2 linked regions of the Caenorhabditis elegans genome follow. The protein of the gene in region 2 interacts with the protein of the main gene of each other region in a pairwise test. Each region holds a gene or a part of one and is shown on either strand. Other genes may lie near its edges.

Evidence for each region. Proteins that work in one complex are often made in the same cells at the same time.
Region 1: the proteins of C17E4.2 (region 2) and mig-32 interact in a two-hybrid assay, tested with the Caenorhabditis elegans proteins (one large-scale study listed by BioGRID).

Annotation. Positions count from the first base shown.
Region 1 is NC_003282.8:12,088,778-12,094,000, reverse strand, and holds mig-32 (Polycomb group RING finger protein 3 homolog mig-32), read left to right. Parts: upstream 1-1,787; coding exon 1,788-2,786; intron 2,787-3,561; coding exon 3,562-4,037; intron 4,038-4,351; coding exon 4,352-4,526; 3' UTR 4,527-4,715; downstream 4,716-5,223. Other genes in the region: cpsf-4 (Cleavage and polyadenylation specificity factor subunit 4), read left to right, coding at 586-708, 758-1,396, 1,443-1,589; F11A10.6 (Transmembrane protein 115), read left to right, coding at 4,979-5,090. UniProt on the Caenorhabditis elegans protein: Component of a Polycomb group (PcG) multiprotein PRC1-like complex, a complex class required to maintain the transcriptionally repressive state of many genes, throughout development. Required for ubiquitination of histone H2A.
Region 2 is NC_003279.8:9,410,520-9,413,760, forward strand, and holds C17E4.2 (Cilia- and flagella-associated protein 157), read left to right. Parts: upstream 1-1,786; 5' UTR 1,787-1,794; coding exon 1,795-2,379; intron 2,380-2,426; coding exon 2,427-2,519; 3' UTR 2,520-2,703; downstream 2,704-3,241. Other genes in the region: C17E4.19 (uncharacterized protein), read left to right, coding at 95-547, 733-846.

The DNA.
Region 1 (5,223 bases), on a different chromosome or scaffold from region 2:
TATTTAACATTTCCGCATAAAACGCAAATTTTCATATTCGCAGCCTTAGTCTTTTTGAATTTACAGATTATTTTACGCTTGGTCGCTAATATATTATTTAAAACATATGTTTCTAATTTGAGTTTACTTTTGAAAGTTTTAAATCTAGAATAAACATTTTTAGTTAGAAAAAACGTTTTTTAATCAACCTATATCAAAATGCACGTAAGAATCGTGTCAATTTTCAATTCCGTTAGCTCAGGATTTTGCAAAACGAGAAAGGAATAAAACAGTTTCATCGGATAAAACAAATTCAATTTTTAATTTAAATTAAAAGAGTTTGAAATAAAAATAGAATTTATCGAACAAAAGTCGATAATTGGAAAACAATTGAAACTTTGTACGCAATTATTTGAAATCTGTGCAATCACCGTTGCTTACCGTAGTCGTGTAGTCCTCTCGGACAACTTTGATGCTTGGCTGATTTTTATTTCTGGAGTTTTTTTTTGTTTCTCCGGAGAAACAAGTTGATTAATCATTACTTTTTTAGTCAATCAATTATTATTTTATTCTCAGATGATTGTGGTGGCGCAGCATGTTCCGGATATGCAGCTAAATCCGATGCAAAGATTATTCGCTCCTCAAACCATGACAGATCTTGTTTCGAATATTACCGCTCCTATGACTGATGTGGAAGAAGCTTTGTTCAATCAAAGAGGAATGAAAGAGGTACAATTATTCTTCCAGTATAAAATTACAACACATATTCAATTTTCAGGCTCCCTTTCGCGATCTGGATCGAAGTGGAAAAGCGGTTTGTAGGAAAAACAAATTAAAAATGTGTCCATTCGGTCCAACATGCCCTCTTCGTCACATCGATGGAGAAAAAGCTGTCGTATGTAAGCATTGGCTTCGTGGTCTTTGTAAGAAAGGAGATCAATGTGAATTCTTGCACGAATATGACCTCACAAAAATGCCCGAATGCTTCTTCTTCTCTAAATACAGCGCGTGCAGCAATCGAGAATGCCCATTCCGACATATTGATCCCGAAACGAAAATGAAAGACTGTCCATGGTACGATCGTGGATTCTGCAGGCATGGACCATACTGCAAACATCGCCATCGTCGTCGTGCAGTCTGCCCCAACTATCTCGCCGGATTTTGTCTACAAGGACCAGATTGTCAATATGCTCATCCTTCATTCGGTCTGCCATCATTCGAGAATATAGCTGTCAGTCATGCCAAACCAACATACAGTCAAGCTATTACTTGCCACAATTGTCATGAAAGAGGCCACAAGGCAACTACATGTCCACATCTTCCAGGACAAACAAGACAAAATCAAGATCATCACCATCGTGTTGATCTCTCACTTATACCAGATAAAAAGAATCTATCAGATGTTACTTGTTACAAGGTAGGTTCATTTTAATCATAAAAAAAGTAAAATAATTCAATTTTAGTGCGGAGAGAAAGGTCACTACGCCAACAGATGCCACAAAGGAGCTCTCGCATTCTTGTCAAATACTGCTCACCTGGCTCACGAACAAAGAGAAAAAGATGAAAAAGAACAAGGAAGGATCAATAATATGCTAAGGCCGCCAATGTGAACATTGTCGAATATAGGAGAACGGGTGGAATCTGTTATTTTTGTTGTTTGTCAAGAATTCGAGACTGTTGGAATAAAAATTTAACCTTCCAATTATTTAATTTGTTGTTTTTTTAATATTCTTGGTTTGAAACCACAATTTTACTGATTAACATTACAAATTTATTTTATAGAGTTATATTAAGCTAACATTATTCAGATGACTCGAAAAAGACCAGCTCTTGCAGAACCGGTTTCATCTTCTCGATCACGGGTAACGAGAAGATCAACAACAGGTGCACCTTCTTCAAAAAAGAAGCGTTCACCTGAACCGGAATCTGATGCAGATTCTGAAGATGATTACGATGGCCCATCGACATCCCAAACCAAGAAATTGAAGCGGGGAAATTCATCGACGAATCGCGGAAAAGCAGCTAATAAGACAAAACGAGGATCTTTTCAAGTTAAACAAGAAATCATGGATGACGATGAAAATGAGGAAAAAATAGATGGAGAAGTAGAGAATGGTATAACATCCAGAGAACATTCACCTGATCCATCTACGTTCAAAAAGACAGCGAAATTACAAACTAAGAAGAAAAAGAAAAAAGAAAGCCCGCCGGAAACTCCACCAACATCACCAAGTCCATCACCATCGCGTTCGGTGTCTCCGTCTACAACAAAATCAGATATTTCTTCGAAAAAAGGACGCAAGGCTGTTGTAAATTCAGTATCAAAAGTGAAAATCGAAAAAGAATCTACACCAGTAAAAACGAATGGAAGAAATTTACCTCCTAAACGAAAAAAGAAGCCAGTTGAAGAAGAAACTGCAGAAGAAATTAAACTTCGTGAACGAGCTGAACGTAAAGCGAGGAGGATAGAAGAAGCTAAAAATCGTCCGAAACTAACTATTGAACAAAAACTGGCAAAACTTCGGAAGAAAAAAGAGCGAAGAGAACGGAGAAAAGAGCAAGAAAAGGAAGAATCGATGCGGCAGAAATATGGGCAACGAAAAATCAAAGCAGAAGCCAGTAAATGGAATTTTGGTCCGATATCATCGATTAATCAACGAAGGAGGGACGAAATGATGGCTTATTTTCCAAAAGCGAATTTTTTGGCCGAAGATGGTGTACCAAAAGTGATGAACAATTTTCGAAGAGCAACAGTGAAATATAATATGGAAGTTTTGAATCCATTCATTACGTGTGGAATTTGTGATGTGAGTTTTTAGTTTTAATTTATAAGTCCAAATATTTAAAAAAAAAACCAGATCATAAATTAAACTTTAAAGATCGGTTAAATTTTTACTTTGAATTTGAAGTTTTCTGAATTGAATTATCAGAAATTTCTGTATTTAAAAAAAAAAGATTGAAATAAAAAAAAATTGAAAAGAATTAGGATTTCTTGATTAAAAAAAATTACATCGTGTTTGTGAACCAGAATAAAAGAGAATAATAACCTCTCGAAGTGTTTTTCGGTAATTTTTAGTGCAATTTTTGAAAAAAATAGAAATTTTGGAAATTTGATCACTTTTTTGGATAATCTGAATTTGGAAATTACCAACACAAGTTAAAAATTTATTCAAAAAATTTTATAACTTTCCTTGAGTTGTTTGATCTCCTCTATTCCATTTTTTGTAGAAAACTAAACAATTATCGCACAAATCTCTGTTGATTTTTCTGGTTTTTCACAAAAAAATACTTCAATCACAAGCAAAGGCATTAAACTAAATGGAAATCACCATAGGAAAAAATTATATAAAAAAACTAATAAAAGTGAATTTTATTCCTACAGTCTTATAAATACAGAGTGCTTGGCGAGACAAAATTTGTATAATTTGCTTCCCTGGAAGCCCATGAAAAGGAAAAAAGATAACGAGGTTCCGCTACAAAATCATTCTCATTTCTAGAAGTTTTCGTTACGATCTAGACTTTAAATCTAGATGCATAAAATCAAAAAACCCATATTTCAAGAATTTAATTATATATTTTCAGGGCTACATCGTAGATGCAACAACAATAATTGATTGTATGCACACATTCTGCAAGAGTTGTCTTCTAACATATTTTGAATCGGATAACAACACGTGTCCAACATGTGGAACATTTATTCATGGATCTCATCCAACTCATTACGTGACTTATGATCGAGCAGTCAATGAACTTGTCAATCAATTTGTGCCAAAAATGGAGAACAACGAGTTGGACGTACGGAAAACGTTTCTAAGAGACTGCCGAGAAGCTCTAGGAATTGATACGGCAGCCGAAGATCGCGAGAGAAAAGAACGACTGGAAAGAGAACGAATAACTGGGACAAATAGATGTTATCCATTGGAAAGGCCTAGATTCTCACATCATAGAGATGATTGTCAAGTGACTGTTAATCTACTCCCCGGGACTGCTAATCTACCTCTTATCACTCGACCGTATGTTCGGTGCAGTGAGATGACTACTATGAATACTTTGAAAAAGTAAGGTTTTTCAAGTTGTATTCAAATTTTGGTTTTTAAAATTTTATCGTGATAACATAAAAGAAAAAATTAATTAAATTTGAAACAATATGACGATTTTGACTGATCTCCTCAGTTGAATTTCCGCGCATTATTCTCCGAAACCACGCCTATTTTTCCGTGCCGCACTTTTACTTTTTTTCAATTACAACTCAAAGTTTTGGTATTTCTCCGAAATTTCAAAAACAAATTTTTTCTAGATGTAAAAAAAATATTTATTTCAGGTTAAAAATTTTAAGGAAATTAATTTTTTTATAATTTTCCTTCTTTTTCAGATTCCTATCTCTTCAAATATGGGACGATCAGAGCCGGTATTCTGATTTAGACATGTTTTGTGACGGACAACTCATGGGAAAAGACTTTTCGGTTCGCTTTGTTTGGATGATGAAGCGCCGTGGTCAACCCAAATCTGAACCACTTATAATTCGATATCATATGACGAGAACATGATCTTCTTCTATCGATTTCTTCTTTCTTCTGAACTTCTCAAGAACAAATTCCCAGTTTTACCATGTTTTAGTACTGTACCATGTATCTCTATCTCTATATTTTGTCTCATTTCCTATGTTTTCATATTTATTAACTGCATTTTTTTTTCAAAAACAACCAAACCCCAAGATGAATAACACGTGTCTAATTAAATTTTTTTGTTGGTTTAAAATTTCTTCGATTTGAAAAACGTGAAGTTTCTTCTTCTGGAGAGAGATTTTATCGTCACCTTCAAAATATCCGCTTATTTCCTGTTTTCACCAGCCACATTTTGTTCTGCTTTTCGATAACATAGTGTTGGTAAGTGAGAGAGTGAAAGAGAAAGGTTCTCAGTGGGGCGCACTTGACGAATCCAGCTCACAGCGTTTACACCATTCCTTTGAAAGACATTGCCGAGTGGATTTGCAGACAAAATGGGAGTGAAAGCTGTGCTTGGCGATCTGCAAATCGTCGTGGAACGGCATTCAGACGTCTTACGGAATAATGCGTTACCGTTCAGATTTCTTGTTGTGCTACGAATTATTGGTGAGTTTTTGCCAATAATTATTATTACCCAGACGTGAGATTTTGCGATTTTTGGGCCAAAAATACCGTATCTGGTTTCAGCACGGCAAATAAAAATGCGTGTGCGCCTTTGAAGTGTACTGTAATTTCAAAG
Region 2 (3,241 bases):
ACAACTTTCTTTTAACTTTTCAAAAGCAATTTTCCGGCTTCTCACTTTTTAACCCATTATTTGCATAACACAGAATCTTTAACATTTTTCAGACATGGCTTCCGAGTGTAAATCTTGCGAAAATCTCGTGGATCATATTAAGGAAGAGATGTTTCACATTGAGGAGCTAAGAAGTGAAATTGAACAACTTGAACAATATATTCGGAATCTTCAAATCAACTTTGAGAAAATTCAAACTGAAAATGAAATTTTGAAGACACAGTTGGAAGAAAAAGAAACGGAAGCTGAGGAAAGTCAACGACTTCTTGATGTAATCCATAAAGATCGTGATGAATGTATTGAAGAAAAAATGAAAGTTTCAAGATTTTATCGAAATGAAATCAAGAAGGTTATAGAAGAAAATGAAGCTCTACGCAAAGAAAACAATAATTTAAAAGATACATATAACAATGAAAATATCGCAAAGATCGGGAAAAATTTGGATAAATTACAAGAAGTTAAGACAGACATTTGCAAAAATAAAATCAAATTGAAAGAGGTTGACAGTGTAAGTTGGTTTTTGTTGTAAATAGAAATTCTATCGATAGATATTCTGGAGTTTGCCATGAAACTTTTATAGTGCCTAATTTTGGAAATTTGTCGAACGGAAGAGATATCGTAAGCAACGGCGTCTTCCATCTTCGTTGCAAATTTTTTATTTTCAAATTCCTCTATTCAATTGTTTCATTTCAGATCACAACGAATGCATCCGTAACTATAAAAAATCAGAAGATTGAATTATGTGAAATGGAGAAGAATGAGGATGAACTGTTTGAAACCTTCGAGTATATCGAGATAGACCAGTAGCATGGAATTCAAAGTTATTCGTTTTGAATTGCTAAATTCAATTTTTTTATTCAATTGTTATCAGAAGCTGTATAAATTAAAGAATTTATGATAGTTTAAAATAAGAACTGATGGCACGAGGAGAATATCATTATGACATGTCTTAAATTCAACTATTTAAATTTATTCATATTTATATTATATGTAATTCACCTAACTCTTGAATTTGATACCACATAGTTAATCAAAAAGTATATACATCTACCTATTTCAATTGTATTCGATTGTGGACAATATCGTATGACTTCCATACTGTCGAAAATGCCTACTTGGTCTTACCCGTTGTTTCACAACAGGTCTCTTTCAAGATGATGTTCCATGTCGTACTGAAAACTGATTCAATTTTTATTTTCCAGCAAAATATAAAAGTTCATGAAGCCCCAAAAAAGTCACTGATTGTCATTTATGGACAAACAATACATAACTTATGCCTTTGATTAGTTAAATTTTTATTTTGCTCGAGATACTCCCCCTTCAGATGTTTTTCCATTTTATAAATTGTATTAATCCCAGTAATTTACTATCACTCAATACTCTTTTTTTTTACAAGATATTGGTTCTTCTATTGCCCTTCTATTGCCCAATTGGCTCAAATGGCTCCTCAATACAAGGTCAGCTCATCGATTTCAGACAAATAACACAGTACAATTAGCACCTGGAGGCAGACAATGGAAGATAATACTTCCCAAAAGAAAGCTGACTTTTGGGAAAGGGGAGTACGGTAAGACAATGTTGAAACGCCTAGAAACCCGCTGGAATTATAGATATTTATTATTGTCTGAGAAGGACAGCTGTTTTTTCTCCAAGGTAGGCCTAAGGCCCGATTCTCCAAGATAATTGCTCCTGTTTTGTTTGAATTTCGTCCTTCACCGTACATAGTTTTTTTTCAAAATTAAGTTTCGTTTCCAGATGAATCCCAAAATCTCTGTCTACGAAAATTCCTCCAACACTTTGGAGCTGACCCAACTAAAAGCAGAAAACGAATTTCTGAAGCATGAGCTCGTGGAGCAACGAAACATTTTCGAGTCAATGCTCGGAAAAGAAAAGTTTGACTTGACTTTGGAGATCATGCTTTTGAAGAATCAGGTCGAGGAATCGTTCAAGGAAAAGAAGATGATTTTGGCTTTTTTTGATGAAAAGGACAGCGAGAAGGAGCAAATGGTTTTGAAATTTACCAGAGAAATTGATGAGCTCAAGGAAATCATCGAAGACAGTGTTTCGGATAAATTGGACTACAATGAAGAGACAAAAGCATGTCATTCGGAAATTGAAAGACTTGAAGATGAATTGAAAAACCGCAAGAGGGATCTTAGACGAAGTGCACGAGAAATGAAAGCAATGGAATCTCAAAAAGATTATTTGATGACAGAGTGTGTACAGCAAAAGCAGGCGATGAAACGATTGGAATCTAAAAATCAAAAGCTTTTGGATCATATGACAGCAACTAGTGAAGGATATCAAAGATTGTCAAGAAACAATGAAAATCTTCTGAAGGTTAGTTCTTGCGATCTTGTCATTTTCAATATTAAGTCAACTTTCAGACGAATGCATTGTTGAATGAAATGATCGGCAGATTCATGGCTCGAGATCAACGACAAGTTCAGGAAGAGGAAACTAGTGTTCTGAAAAAGTGATTTCTGAAGAACGTTCACAACAGCTTGCTCATCGCCCTTCATCGACTGTCAGACCAACTTCCTTTTGTAGTTTTCTAGTTCTTCCATCTCCCTGTAACTCCATCGATCATTCATGTCATCTCATCATTGTAATAATTCAATTTTCTAGAAATCCCTTTCCAGATAAATAAATGAATTAAACCGTATTTTATTGTGTATCTGAAAATGTCGAAACAAGCAGAACGTCATGTGCATTTCGATATCTAACGACTTTGATCTGCCTATTGTTGCAGGTGTTTTTTAAGAGCACCTAGATAACCAATAGGCCCACTACTCGATCGACAGAGTCAATAAAACGTATTGCAGTGGGAACAATTCTAAGAGGTCATTCACATTGTCCCCCAATCGGTGCTAACTATATATTTCAACTGCTACGTATAGCAGTAAAGAACATCGCCTTAATTTTTATCTATCATACACTGGCAGCCTGCCAAAAATGTTTTTTGGAAAATGATTAACCAAAACTTTGACTGAATTTTTTTTCAAAAATCTAAAACAAGTGTAAAGAGGCTAAATTTCTACTGAAAAGCGTTAATTCTTCTCTTCTTTTCTCCTTTTGTCTCTCCTGGAGAGCGTAAATACATAAAAAATTAATTTGAATTAATTTTTTCATTAAGGAAACCAACATCCTATACGACTGTATTCTTATTCCTGAAAAATTCACTGTCTCATCAAAAAAACCA